2 linked regions of the Stegostoma tigrinum genome follow. The protein of the gene in region 1 interacts with the protein of each later gene in a biochemical or structural test. Links are inferred from orthologs where the notes say so. Each region holds a gene or a part of one and is shown on either strand. Other genes may lie near its edges.

Region 1 (7,161 bases):
AGCCGGAACTGGGCCCAGGCAGGTGACCCAGTTCTATCCAGGTCCTAGGGATTCTGTTCCTCCCTCCTCACTTTTTCTTTTTTCAAAATCAGAAATATCTCTGCAGAAACGCGCCACCTTTTGAAATGCAATCTATTTCACTTTCCCTAGCAGTTCACCCGCTGAGGAAGCGCAGACAGACTTCCCTGTTTCCCGGTCAGGTGTTACATCAATGAAAGGAATTCGGGGCTCATCAATGCGAATAGGGGAAGGGTATTGACTGCGTGCCCCCTACCCTCGTCACAAAATGACAGCGAATAAACTTGAAGAACTGAGGTCTTATGGCGCAGTGACAGTAACGGAACCTCTGGCCTGCGTAAACCCAAATTCAGGACCCACCTGCTTTTGAGGTGTGCAAAAACATCTTTAAACATCAAAAGAAACGTGGGTAGTATTCGTTCTTTCAGTTACGGCCCTGGGTAAATTGCGTTTCACACCCAGCAGTAGGGATAATGGACTATATATGTGATATGACATTTGTTTGTTCTGCATGGAAAAAGACTGTTCGCAGACAAATCAACATTCCGCTCGTTTCTAAAGTTGAAGTACACTATCAAACGAGTCAAGGCCTGTCTCAGAGTCATATCCTTCCTCTGCAAGAGAGTTCTGGTTTCCAGATCATTCCGAAAAGGAAACCACCTCCCATCCTTTAATGTCCCAGCTCTCCGGGAGTTTCAAAGTGCACTTTCTGCGCTTTCTGGAAAGCGGGATCAGCATTTTGGCTGTGATAGTAGGAACTGCAGATGCTGGAGAATCTGAGATAACAAGGTGTAGAGCTGAATGAACACAGCAGGTCAAGCAGCATCAGAGGAGCAGGAAAGCTGACGTTTCGGACCTGGACCCTTCCGAAACGTCAGCCTTCCTGCTCCTCTGATGCTGCTTGGCTTGCTGTGTTCATTCAGCTCTACACCTCGTTAGCTCTTTTGACTGTGAGCTCTTCAATCTGTGTACCCTTGTGGTCTCTAACCACTACTACACGCTGTTGTGGGGCAGCTGAAGGATGAGATAACACTATTGAGATTGGAATCTCGGCCTAATCTTCCTATGTTTCTTATAAGAAGTGCTTTTAGCCTTGAGATAGAATTTTTAAAACATCCTAGTGGCTTTTCCAAGGGGATTCCTCAGAAAGCTATAAGGAACTCCATATATTAAGGTCAATGGGATATTCAGGTCCCAGCAAACAATATGATTGCTCCCCCTCTCCAAATTAGTTTATCTGCGACTTCGGTTCTATTTATTGGTAAATTCTAACCTTGTGAGTAATTATTTCCGGGGAGATTTAACTTGTTTTGTTTAGTTGATAGGCTCACACTTTAGAGATGTTGCATTGTATTGAGACGTCAGATTGTTGCTGCATAAAATGGGCCAGTGGCTCCATTTCCTGATTAGATAACCCGGCAGATTTGAGGAATGTGGCAACTTCACACGGTTACTGGCCAGTTCTATGGAACATCTCACCTTGTGTTGAGCACAAGCTGAGTTTAACGGGCTCCCCACTCTCCCCGAGCTCGTACTTGAGCCATCTGTCATGGTACTTCGTCTCGGCCGTCACCACCGGCAAGTAGCCCCACTTCTTGAGGAACATTCTCGGATGGGCGACCCCGAGGCTGCCCGGCAGCTCCTCCTCGCACTGCCAGCGAGGCGCCTGGGCACACTCTCGCAGCGCCAGGTTGCGGAACTGCCGCCGAGTCGTGTTGACCGTAGCCAGGCACCGGTCTACCTTCGGGTCTACCTGCTGGAGGCGCAGCTTCCTCTGCTCCGTCCACTGCCACTGTTGCGACGGGCTGGTCAGTTTGCATGCGCCAACCAACACCGTCAGGTTTTTGCCCAGCAGGCACCGTTCCTTGGCAGCGTGGAGGATCAGGAATCCATCTGTGGGGAGAAGGACCAACATGCATTTACATAAACCAGTTAAAACACATGGTTACAGTGTCAGAAATCAGTCATCAAGGAAGATATCTTCCCTCCCATAAACAGCTGCAATTCAATTTGTATTTGGACATGACTGTTGCAATCTGGAGCTAGACACTACGTTGTTACAATCTGTATTTGAACATTGTTACAATCTGCATTTGAACGCTAATTCTTTGCAAACAGTATTTGGACATTAATTTGTTAGTCTGTATCTGGGCACTACTTCAAAAACAATTCAGTGTCTTCACTGCACCAGCTGCACAGACAGACCAATACAAGGAATACGTCTCGACAGCAGTTCCATCACTCTGGCCTCTATCGAGACCATTCCGTTAAGCTTCGATCCCGAATTGACAGAAAACACATGCCCCCACCCCTATATTTAACTTGGAATGGTTGGAAACAATTGCACATCATTCAACTTCACATTAAGCTCAAAGACATCGGGATGAGCACCAAACCAACCAGATGTGTATCCCGTGATTGTTTGGGGGATGGGGGGAGGGAGAGGGGGCTATTCTTTCGGCTAGGTGATTGTCTCTGTTCCACTCTCTTCACCCCCTCCCCCGCCCCCAAACCACTGAAGCGGCTGTAGCCTCTAACTGTACTCAATGATTAGACAAGTGGCCGCAGTGCCCCGAGGCTACCGGTCAGAACCAATCCAGATCGGAACCGGAAGACATCGGTATTATGTTTCAATTTATTCCACCAAATCGAACAACTTTGTTGCAAACTGGGGCCAACAAACTGCAAACTATCTCACAATGTGTTAGACATGCCGGGTCTGCTACAGCGTACAGTTGTGTACAATATAAAAAAAAACTCATTTCCGTTCGTTCCTTTTTTAAAAGAAACTGCGGTTGGATTTGGACTGCTGGCAAGGATTAACGTGGAATAAGGAACACAGATTCCTATACAGCTATTGAGCACTGCTGAGTTTAATCCACTTACCAGATAAAGCCAGTAGCGTAAACGTAAAAACCACGAAGAGAGGACTATCCATTTTTACGATATTCTTGTAACTAGGTTACATGCTACCCTCAGCACAGATCGCTGAAGCTAAGCGTCGAAAGGAAATGTGTCTTCAGGGGAAAAAAAAAGTTGGTGACGACCACTTCCTCCTATTCAATCTCTTTTGAATCTTTCATGTCAGAGTGTCATATTGTGTGATTTCTCGGAAATCATCCTAACCCTCATGGTCACACATGGCGAGGCCATCTCGGATTTGGTTAATTGTGATGAGACTGTCAAAATTGATTACTTCTATCCCAATTTCGGCCATGTCGCAATTGTGATATTTTTGTGCAATCTGTTCTCTCTCATCATATATGTCTGTTAGCACAGAAATCAACAAACTACTCCATCTGTACAATTGCTGGATAAACCCACGCTCCTTTCGCATGTTGAAGTCAGTACTTTCAAATTGCACAGTTGGAATGTTTTGTAAACAAGTTGTTGTGGAAGACCTGTTGACATTAGTTACAAGTTAGATCCTCAGCTCTTCAAAGACAGGCATTTAAATCAAATGGCAATTTTTGTGACGATTTGTGTAGTGACAGGTATTATTAAAAGTAGGACCCAATGAACCACTTTCTTAAAATGGAAATAGAACTGCGCTCGTAAGAGTCAACAGTATTTTATTAAATAGCATTTTCATACTAGAACACTCATTGACAGAAAACGAATTACATTCTATGGTATATTTAAAGAGTTTGCAATAAATTGGGTTGGGGGATTGACTCTAGTTCAGTCAGAGTTTTTACAGCATGGAAAAAGACCATTTGGCCCATATGTCAATGCTAGTCATCAAACATTCATCTACTCTAATCCCATCATCCAGCACCTGGTTTGTGGTCTTGGGACTGTGATGTTAATCTAAATATTTCTGAAAGGTCTTGGGGATTCCCGCCTCAACCACCCTAATTCCTGTTGCTTAGCACTGACATAGTTTAGTTAGATGTATGCATTAATTGAAATTAATAATGGGAGTAAGAACACATCATTGTAACTCACTCTTGCTCCAGATATTTGGTTTCTTATTAAAATATATATTCAAGAACAAGATTTCAAAAAATCATTGCATTTATTGTCATCATACACAAAATTTAACAGGGATGAACAAAAACACAAATTATCCTGTGCAGATTCTGCACTGCTTTCTGTAAACAACTCATTAATGTAAACAATTTCCTGCACATGACAAAAAAGGAATTTGAAATATGTCTCCTCAAATGGAACACATACCACGTAGCTGCATATAGAATAAAGCTAAGTCAATGTTTCATATTTTTAGGCTTCCATTCTCATTATACATTCCATACAGTTCCACATTGCACTTCTTGTCTGCCAGAAGGAACAAAATATTGATACTACTTCACAACATGAGACAGAGAGAGAGAAAGAGCGAGAAAGATCCTGTAAGTGTTAACCACAGGGATTTGCTTAATATCTAAGAAGCGCGTACATTTAGACAACCCCCATACAAATACATTGTCAAAGACATAAGAATACATATACTGATTGTTTAACATTATGCATCTTGATTGCTAATTAGGATTACAAATATGCATACAATTTAACACCATATCACAAATAAAAACCTGCATCTACATTGCATACAAAACATTTACAGTTTTAAAATATTCCAGAATTAAACAGTTATTTAAAATTCATGAATAAAACACTTGTGCATTTCAGCAGCAAGACAATAATGTGGTAAAGAAATAAAATTCACCACTTATGAAATAGCATTTTCACATGTATATATTAATAACTCACATCAAGAGTTGTGTGCAAGAGTTCAAAACACAGAAACAATTGATAAAGGGTTCAGTGTTGTACTTCTATCCAAACTCTTTATCTCTCAAAGCAAGTTCAACAGGCACTGCTTTTCTTAGACCATTGGGTTTGCAAGTATTGTTTAGCTGAACTTAACATAAAAAAGGCTTTAATTAGACAGAGATAATATTTCACATAAAGTCAGTTAGCTGCATTTTCCTATAACAGAATTTAGGAAAATATACACGACATTCATTCAGCTATCTTTAATCAATCCAGCAAACACTTTTTTTCCTGTTGTGTTGTGACTAGCTTCTGCGTTTACCATGTATCACCTGTCTACTGGAAACGATTCTTGTTCTTGTCTCTCTAAGTAATATGTTTCATTACTTCAAGAGATAATTTACCTCGTGTCCATGTAACTTAGAATCAAAGGTTTTCATGAATGATGATAGATTTACTGTCTAGTGTCTGCTGAGATTGTGCTCTCATAAAGGCTTAGCGCATGGTGTACAAATCCATACTGTTCACTTGTCTGAATCATTCCTCCTCTGTAATCAAAGCAAACATGTTAAAATAAATTGGATTTCTGTCAAAATAAAAATGAATACACATAATTTTCTGAAATTACATTCAAAGATTATCAACATTTCATAGAATCCCTGCAGTGCAAAAAGAGGCCATTTGATCCATCAATTCCACACTGATCCTCTGAGGAGCATCCCATCCAGACCCAGAGTCCTGTCCTATCCCTATAACCCAAATCATTTATCATGGTTAATCCACCAAAATTGAATATGCCTGGGTACTACAGACAATTTACCGTAGCCAATCCACCCATCTTTGGACTATAGGAGGAAACCCATAGAGATGCAGGGAGAACATGCAAACTCCATACAGACAGTCACCCAAGGTTGAGAATTGAACCTGGGTCCCTGGCACTGTGAAAGCCATCATGCCACCCATCAGTTTTGGCATCTTTATAAGAAATGAAGGAGATGAGAAGAGTAAAGAGCAGGATATGAAGGGAATGGTAATGGGGAGAAAATTACAGTTCTGGCATTTGAATTTAAATTTTGTGGCAGTACATATCAATGACACTCACCACTGACCTTGAAAATAATTAGCCACAAGGATCTAATAATCTCTGTGGCATGAATTTCCCCTTTCCTGATTCAAACACCAGTATCACCAGCTCTCAGCAAAAATGTTATTATTAAACAAAGTGAGCAACTCATCAGATTGAAGTATTCTTTTAGACAGCTAACTAGGAAACAAAAAACACTGATTATAATTCACTTTACATACATTGTATACAGAATTAAATAATTGGCTGGGTTTGTGGGATCAAGCCAGAAGCTGAAATTTCACAAACTCTTAAAAATCATGATGTTGACATTTCACCATTAGAAAATTAGCTTTCAATGGGGAGAAAAGTTGTGTTTAGGAGTGGGGTTAACCTATTACATCTTTGAAAAAAGGTTTTACAGCATACATGAAAATTTAACCTTTTCGTGAGGTTTACACCAAGATTATTAGTATTTAAGGACTTTTTTTGATTGGTCAATTATTTCTCCTTGAGTTCTGTCTGTGGGGACTTCAACAGCTTGCCCTGTGAAGAATTGCAGAATCACTGATGACAATATATTTGGATTTCCTCATGTAACTGTGCCTATGTGGATTTCAGAAATCACTGTAAGTTTCACAAGAGTAAAAATGGTGAACACTGACCATTTCACTGTCATTACAGCTGTAAAGTTTGGACTTTGCCATTTTCTCTAATTACTCTGCAACCTTAATTAATAGGGAATTGCAATAACACTGAATTAAAAATTCCTGAACTGATAAAGGACAATCCTTTGTACAATTAATCATTTCCCCCATAACTCTTGTAATATACAAATGAAGGGAATTATGAGCACATATCAGTTCAGGTTTTGAGTTGCTAAAAATAAATTAAATTAACTCCCAATTAACTCCCAATGATTATTGAATTTACAGATCAATAAATGATGTGCTTGTTACCTGAACTTTTAGTTGGATGCTCTATAATCATAACCATTTGTATTGGCATCATAAAAGCATTGGTTTGTCATGACAGTGAAGACAAATAATGAGCATATGAATTACGCAGTGTTGTCTGTCATCATCACAATAAAGACAGAGAAATCCGATGAACTAAAATAGCTCATTTCTCTCAAGTTTGAGTTTCAACTTAAAATTAATGTCAAAAACTGCTTTAACTGAAATCAGGTTGTATGTCCACCAACTGAGAAATCAAGTAAAAACTTACCAACATTTCAAAAAAAGCTGGATTAATTCCTAAAGCATCTAACCACCGAAAAGCAGCCCTGGAAGTAGTCAGTGACATAAGAAGACAATGATTTGCACTGAGAGGACAGTGGACACATCTTGTAGTTTAAGTTGTAG
Region 2 (7,276 bases), about 37 Mb from region 1:
CTGGTTTTGGGATGCAGTGGGTGGAGGGGAAGAGCTGGGCTGGTTGTGTGGTGCAGTGGGGGGAGGGGACGAACTGGGCTGGTTTTGGGCTGCGGTGGGGGAAGGGGAGATTTTGAAGCTGGTGAAGTCCACATTGATACTATTGGGCTGCAGGGTTCCCAAGCGGAATATGAGTTGCTGTTCCTGCAACCTTCGGGTGGCATCATTGTGGCACTGCAGGAGGCCCATGATGGACATGTCATCTAAAGAATGGGAGGGGGAGTGGAAATGGTTTGCGACTGGGAGGTGCAGTTGTTTATTGCGAACTGAGCGGAGGTGTTCTGCAAAGCAGTCCCCAAGCCTCCACTTGGTTTCCCCAATGTAGAGGGAGCCACACCGGGTACAGTGGATGCAGTATACCACATTGGTAGATGTGCAGGTGAACCTCTGCTTAATGTGGAAAGTCATCTTGGGGCCTGGGATAGGGGTGAGGGAGGAGGTGTGGGGGCAAGTGTAGCATTTCCTGCGGTTACAGGGGAAGGTGCGTCTGTCCGTCTTCCCTAGACTGACCTATCTCCTCCCCACCTCCCCACCTATACTCTCCTCTCCACCTATCTTCTTTTCTCTCCATCTTCGGTCCGCCTCCCCCTCTCTCGCTATTTATTCCAGAACCCTCACCCCATCCCCCTCTCTGATGAAGGATCTAGGCCCGAAACGTCAGTTTTTCTGCTCCTGACATGCTACTGGGCCTGCTGTGTTCGTCCAGCCTCACATTTCGTTCCCCTTCTGGGATTCTGGTTGTAATACAATGTGTTTACCTAGCTCCAAGCACCAGTAATTAAATATCAAATATATGTGGAATGGTAGTTTAATCAGGTTTCCTACATCTAGGTTTTAAGGTTGATTACAAGTACAAAGAAATGGAATTTCACCCAACAGTTTATTCCGCCCCACAGAGCAATAATTCTCACTTGCAAAATTTCTGAGTGACCTACTACAGAAGAGTACATGAAGTGGTTTCACACTGCCTTCCGCATGGATTTCATCTTTGGACTACTTTTTTTAGAAGCTTGACTGCAAGCAAGGCTAAAGAACCCCACCAAAATTTCACAATGGGCAAGGCTGGTCCACAGTCCAATGGGCACACTGAACATCAACCCAGCATTTGTTTCCACTTCTCTCAAAACCCACGTACGTTTCACTAAATCCTGGTAAAATTTCTAACAAGTACCCAGTCATATAACCATTTGTTAGTGTTTAAAAGTGGGGTGGATTGGGGGTGTGGAGTCTGATGTTAATTCAAAAACTTTTTTTTCCACTTGGATCTGCCTTGGCTTTCCCAGGATAGAACATTTCATAAACACATGTACTCAATTAGTCTCATTCAAGCAACCAACATTCTTACATTACCTTCTGGAACCTATCTCTACAGGACTGTCACACAGTGGATTGTATTAGTGATGTTTTAGAGCCACCAATTTGTCTGTATTCACTGCACCCATGGCAATTCAATGTGGAAATTCAGGAAAATCTCCCCAATGCATTATGTTCTTCTAAATTCAGCTCATGGCAAATTAGAGGACAACAGAAGGGCACCAGTGTTAAACTGAAAAAAAAAACACTACTCTATTAGGGAGATTCCTGGTAATGACTAGGAATGCAGTATATCCTGTGTTTCCATGTCAGCAACAGATCAGTTGCAAGGAGATGTGCTAATCACCTTGCCATCACCACACGCCCAAATGGCCAGATGATGCTTATTTGAAACCACTCATTAGGAATCTCACTGGCAAAGTTTAGACACATTCCCAATAATGAATAATAGAGGAGGAGCAGTACAAGTATTCCCCAGAGAGTGGCAGGGTGAAAGAAAAGGAGGTGTTTGGGGTCAGAAAAGAGGGAGAGGGCTCAAATTTACTCCCAGGTAATCAGTGATACCAGTAGTCATCATCTCTAGCATCCCTTCAACACAGCAATGTGAACTCTCTGCAATGGTATTGCTTCTGACATCCCTTTGTACGAAAATACTCGTTAAAGGATGACATAATGCCAGCTAGAGGATGCAGATTAAAATATCTTTCCTCCCATGCCCAAATTCTCAGAAACCAATCACAAATGCAGACTCCAGTAAAAAAACCTATCTTATAAATGCTCTGCTGCAAAATTAAAAGTAAAATTATTACTTAGCTGTTCCTAAATAGGTAAATGGTAGCGGATAGCAAGGATAATTTTTGCGAATACACAACATGAACAGTCTACATACTGGCAACACCCAAATGCGTACACTTCACTCTCCCTTTCTGCTCGTCAGGACTGATCATGAACTCAGCATGTTACGAAGAGTGACACACTCCCGAGTGAGGAGCACATACAAACAGACACACAACGTAAAGCACTGAATTGTACTGAATGTTTGCAAGACAAGACTTTAAGGCACATTTTGCACACCTCTTTCTTTTAGAAAAAAGCTGCAGATTATGTTTCCCACCCTCTCGTAATAAATATTTGCTTCGTCTTCCAGCTTATAAAACTGCGAGGGCACAATGACCATCTACTGTCGCAGTAAGACCAAAACACGACTGAAAAAAATTAAACCCATGCGAGGGTGTTACCTGTGAGAGTTTCCCAGGCCCGGGGGTTTGGAAAAAAGTGGATGAGAGGAATGACCCCCTGAAGACAGGGCTGCTTTGACCCACCTCTCAGACCTACACGTGAAAACTACTCCAAACAACAAGCAGCAGAAAGAGCTGCATTTGGAGATTAGGCTGACATTTAAAAGCGTGGGAGTTGAACGGGACACTGCTGGTGTGCGGATAACACACTACTTTCTGTAGACTCGGCTCAATCCCTGAAAATAATCATAAACGGTTTGCATTTTTGCTGCTGCACTCACCAGGCGAGGGTTTTCTACAGCGTCCTGGGCTTGCTTTATAGATGCGAGCAGATAGAGCTGATACTCACCTGAAGCCAGTCGGCTCTCTCTCAGTCACTGGGACCTGAGTAGCGTTTGACAGATCGCCCCGGCCATCCTGATTGACAGCCGGTTGCTGTGGAATCCGCCGTTCCAATTGGCTAGTCTCGACGCCAATCAAAGGCGAGGTAGCCTATCGGACCGGAGGATTGGGGTGGGTGGGCGGAGCGGCTCCCGCCCAGGCTGCTGCAGTCGCTGCGTCAAACGGGACGGTCGCTGCATTGGAAGCTAGGAGTGTAACAGGATGGGCACTGCAGAGATAGGCAGGTAGAGTTTACAGAAATGTACACACGCACAGACACAGATCTCCAACACCCTTGCAGCAGCATCTTGGCTACCAATTGCAGCGAGGAAACTGACACGCAGCCTGGAGAAGCGGGGGCTGCAAAGGTGTAGGCAACGCCGTAATACCCTGAATATTAAAATTGCATCGCACCCTTTTCGCCTGCGCCCGGATTGCGTCAATGACATTGCAGAGAACTTGCAGGCAGACCCCTAGGAGGAGTCCATCCTCCTCCCCTTGATGCACAGAGTGGGAGGGGCAGCACTCCAAAGCAATCCATCTCAGGAGAAACATTAACAAAAAAGTGATTGACCTTAGCAAGGGAAGCCTGCCCAGTTTAGGAGCGGCTGTCACAGGAGGACTGGAGATCCTAACAAACCTGCCTTAGCTCTGTTACTCTGCACAGGTACCAACACGTGGGAGTGGGAACTGTTGAGCCGCTGGAAGGGGGCAGTCAGATCGAAGTGGCATCGCTGACTCAACACATTGGGAGATGTGGATTTTTAAAAAAGCACAGGACGTGGCGAACAAAAGCTCGTATTAAAGCATGCAGTCATCTCTATCCCAACGCGGGCAACCATGCAGCGACGACATGTTGCTCTGAGCAACACCAGAAATGGGCAGCAAACCCCCTACCCTTCCACTCATCTGGAAATAGCACAGGCCTGAGTTTTAACCGACAAATCCCAGAGAGTTCTTACAGCCAAGATAATAAAATGTGAGGCTGGATGAACACAGCAGGCCAAGCAGCATCTCAGGAGCACAAAAGCTGACGTTTCCGGCCTAGACCCTTCATCAGAGAGGGGGATGGGGGGAGGGAACTGGAATAAATAGGGAGAGAGGGGGAGGCGGACCGAAGATGGAGAGTAAAGAAGATAGGAGAGGGTGTAGGTGGGGAGGTAGGGAGGGGATAGGTCAGTCCAGGGAAGACGGACAGGTCAAGGAGGTGGGATGAGGTTAGTAGGTAGCTGGGGGTGCGGCTTGGGGTGGGAGGAAGGGATGGGTGAGAGGAAGAACCGGTTAGGGAGGCAGAGACAGGTTGGACTGGTTTTGGGATGCATTGGGTGGGGGGGAAGAGCTGGGCTGGTTGTGTGGTGCAGTGGGGGGAGGGGATGAACTGGGCTGGTTTAGGGATGCAGTGGGGGAAGGGGAGATTTTGAAACTGGTGAAGTCCACATTGATACCATATGGCTGCAGGGTTCCCAGGCGGAATATGAGTTGCTGTTCCTGCAACCTTCGGGTGGCATCATTGTGGCACTGCAGGAGGCCCATGATGGACATGTCATCAAGAGAATGGGAGGGGGAGTGGAAATGGTTTGCGACTGGGAGGTGCAGTTGTTTGTTGCGAACTGAGCGGAGGTGTTCAGCAAAGCGGTCCCCAAGCCTCCGCTTGGTTTCCCCAATGTAGAGAAAGCCGCACCGGGTACAGTGGATGCAGTATACCACATTGGCAGATGTGCAGGTGAACCTCTGCTTAATGTGGAATGTCATCTTGGGGCCTGGGATGGGGGGAGGGAGGAGGTGTGGGGACAAGTGTAGCATTTCCTGCGGTTGCAGGGGAAGGTGCCGGGTGTGGTGGGGTTGGAGGGCAGTGTGGAGCGAACAAGGGAGTCACGGAGAGAGTGGTCTCTCCGGAAAGCAGACAGGGGTGGGGATGGAAAAATGTCTTGGGTGGTGGGGTCGGATTGTAAATGGCGGAAGTGTCGGAGGATAATGCGTTGTATCCGGAGGTTGGTAGGGTGGTGTGTGAGAACGAGGGGGATCCTCTTGGGGCGGTTGTGGCGGGGGCGGGGTGTGAGGGATGTGTCGCGGGAAATGCGGGAGACGTGGTCAAGGGCGTTCTCAATCACCGTGGGGGGGGAAGTTGCGGTCCTTAAAGAACTTGGACATCTGGGATGTGCGGGAGTGGAATGTCTTATCGTGGGAGCAGATGCGGCGGAGGCGGAGGAATTGGGAATAGGGGATGGAATTTTTGCAGGAGGGTGGGTGGGAGGAGGTGTATTCTAGGTAGCTGTGGGAGTCGGTGGGCTTGAAATGGACATCAGTTACAAGCTGGTTGCCTGAGATGGAGACTGAGAGGTCCAGGAAGGTGAGGGATGTGCTGGAGATGGCCCAGGTGAACTGAAGGTTGGGGTGGAAGGTGTTGGTGAAGTGGATGAACTGTTCGAGCTCCTCTGGGGAGCAAGAGGCGGCGCCGATACAGTCATCAATGTACCGGAGGAAGAGGTGGGGTTTGGGGCCTGTGTAGGTGCGGAAGATGGACTGTTCCACGTAACCTACAAAGAGGCAGGCATAGCTGGGGCCCATGCGGGTGCCCATGGCCACCCCCTTAGTCTGTAGGAAGTGGGAGGAGTCAAAAGAGAAGTTGTTGAGTGTGAGGACGAGTTCCGCTAGGCGGATGAGAGTGTCGGTGGAGGGGGCCTGGTCGGGCCTGCGGGACAGGAAGAAGCGGAGGGCCTTGAGGCCATCTCATGACCCCACACCCGAGCACCAAACCATCATCTCCAACACCATTCATGACCTCATCACCTCAGGGGACCTCCCACCCACAGCCTCCAACCTCATTGTTCCCCAACCCCACACGGCCCGTTTCTCTCTCCTTCCCAAAATCCACAAACCTGCCTGCCCTGGTCGACCCATCGTCTCAGCCTGCTCCTGCCCCACCGAACTCATCTCCACCTATCTGGACTCCATTTTCTCCCCTTTGGTCCAGGAACTCCCCACCTATGTCCGTGACACCACCCACGCCCTCCACCTCCTCCAGGACTTCCAATTCCCTGGCCCCCAACACCTCATATTCACCATGGACGTCCAGTCCCTGTACACCTGCATTCCGCATGGAGATGGCCTCAAGGCCCTCCGCTTCTTCCTGTCCCGCAGGCCCGACCAGGCCCCCTCCACCGACACTCTCATCCGCCTAGCGGAACTCGTCCTCACACTCAACAACTTCTCTTTTGACTCCTCCCACTTCCTACAGACTAAGGGGGTGGCCATGGGCACCCGCATGGGCCCCAGCTATGCCTGCCTCTTTGTAGGTTACGTGGAACAGTCCATCTTCCGCACCTACACAGGCCCCAAACCCCACCTCTTCCTCTGGTACATTGATGACTGTATCGGCGCCGCCTCTTGCTCCCCAGAGGAGCTCGAACAGTTCATCCACTTCACCAACACCTTCCACCCCAACCTTCAGTTCACCTGGGCCATCTCCAGCACATCCCTCACCTTCCTGGACCTCTCAGTCTCCATCTCAGGCAACCAGCTTGTAACTGATGTCCATTTCAAGCCCACCGACTCCCACAGCTACCTAGAATACACCTCCTCCCACCCACCCTCCTGCAAAAATTCCATCCCCTATTCCCAATTCCTCCGCCTCCGCCGCATCTGCTCCCACGATAAGACATTCCACTCCCGCACATCCCAGATGTCCAAGTTCTTTAAGGACCGCAACTTCCCCCCCACGGTGATTGAGAACGCCCTTGACCGCGTCTCCCGCATTTCCCGCGACACATCCCTCACACCCCGCCCCCGCCACAACCGCCCCAAGAGGATCCCCCTCGTTCTCACACACCACCCTACCAACCTCCGGATACAACGCATTATCCTCCAACACTTCCGCCATTTACAATCCGACCCCACCACCCAAGACATTTTTCCATCCCCACCCCTGTCTGCTTTCCGGAGAGACCACTCTCTCCGTGACTCCCTTGTTCGCTCCACACTGCCCTCCAACCCCACCACACCCGGCACCTTCCCCTGCAACCGCAGGAAATGCTACACTTGTCCCCACACCTCCTCCCTCACCCCCATCCCAGGCCCCAAGATGACATTCCACATTAAGCAGAGGTTCACCTGCACATCTGCCAATGTGGTATACTGCATCCACTGTACCCGGTGCGGCTTTCTCTACATTGGGGAAACCAAGCGGAGGCTTGGGGACTGCTTTGCAGAACACCTCCGCTCAGTTCGCAACAAACAACTGCACCTCCCAGTCGCAAACCATTTCCACTCCCCCTCCCATTCTCTTGATGACATGTCCATCATGG

What was found.
Region 2: the proteins of ptprb (region 1) and cntn1b form a complex in vitro, tested with the Homo sapiens proteins (2 studies listed by BioGRID). The link is inferred for Stegostoma tigrinum from reciprocal best matches to the Homo sapiens genes PTPRB and CNTN1.

The regions. Positions count from the first base shown.
Region 1 is NC_081371.1:44,953,369-44,960,529, reverse strand, and holds the start of ptprb (receptor-type tyrosine-protein phosphatase beta), read right to left. Parts: upstream 3,011-7,161; 5' UTR 2,957-3,010; coding exon 2,905-2,956; intron 1,912-2,904; coding exon 1,498-1,911; intron 1-1,497. UniProt on the Homo sapiens protein: Plays an important role in blood vessel remodeling and angiogenesis. Not necessary for the initial formation of blood vessels, but is essential for their maintenance and remodeling. Can induce dephosphorylation of TEK/TIE2, CDH5/VE-cadherin and KDR/VEGFR-2.
Region 2 is NC_081371.1:8,302,407-8,309,682, reverse strand, and holds the start of cntn1b (contactin 1b), read right to left. Parts: upstream 3,004-7,276; 5' UTR 2,941-3,003; exon of another isoform or gene 2,873-2,940; intron 1-2,872. UniProt on the Homo sapiens protein: Contactins mediate cell surface interactions during nervous system development.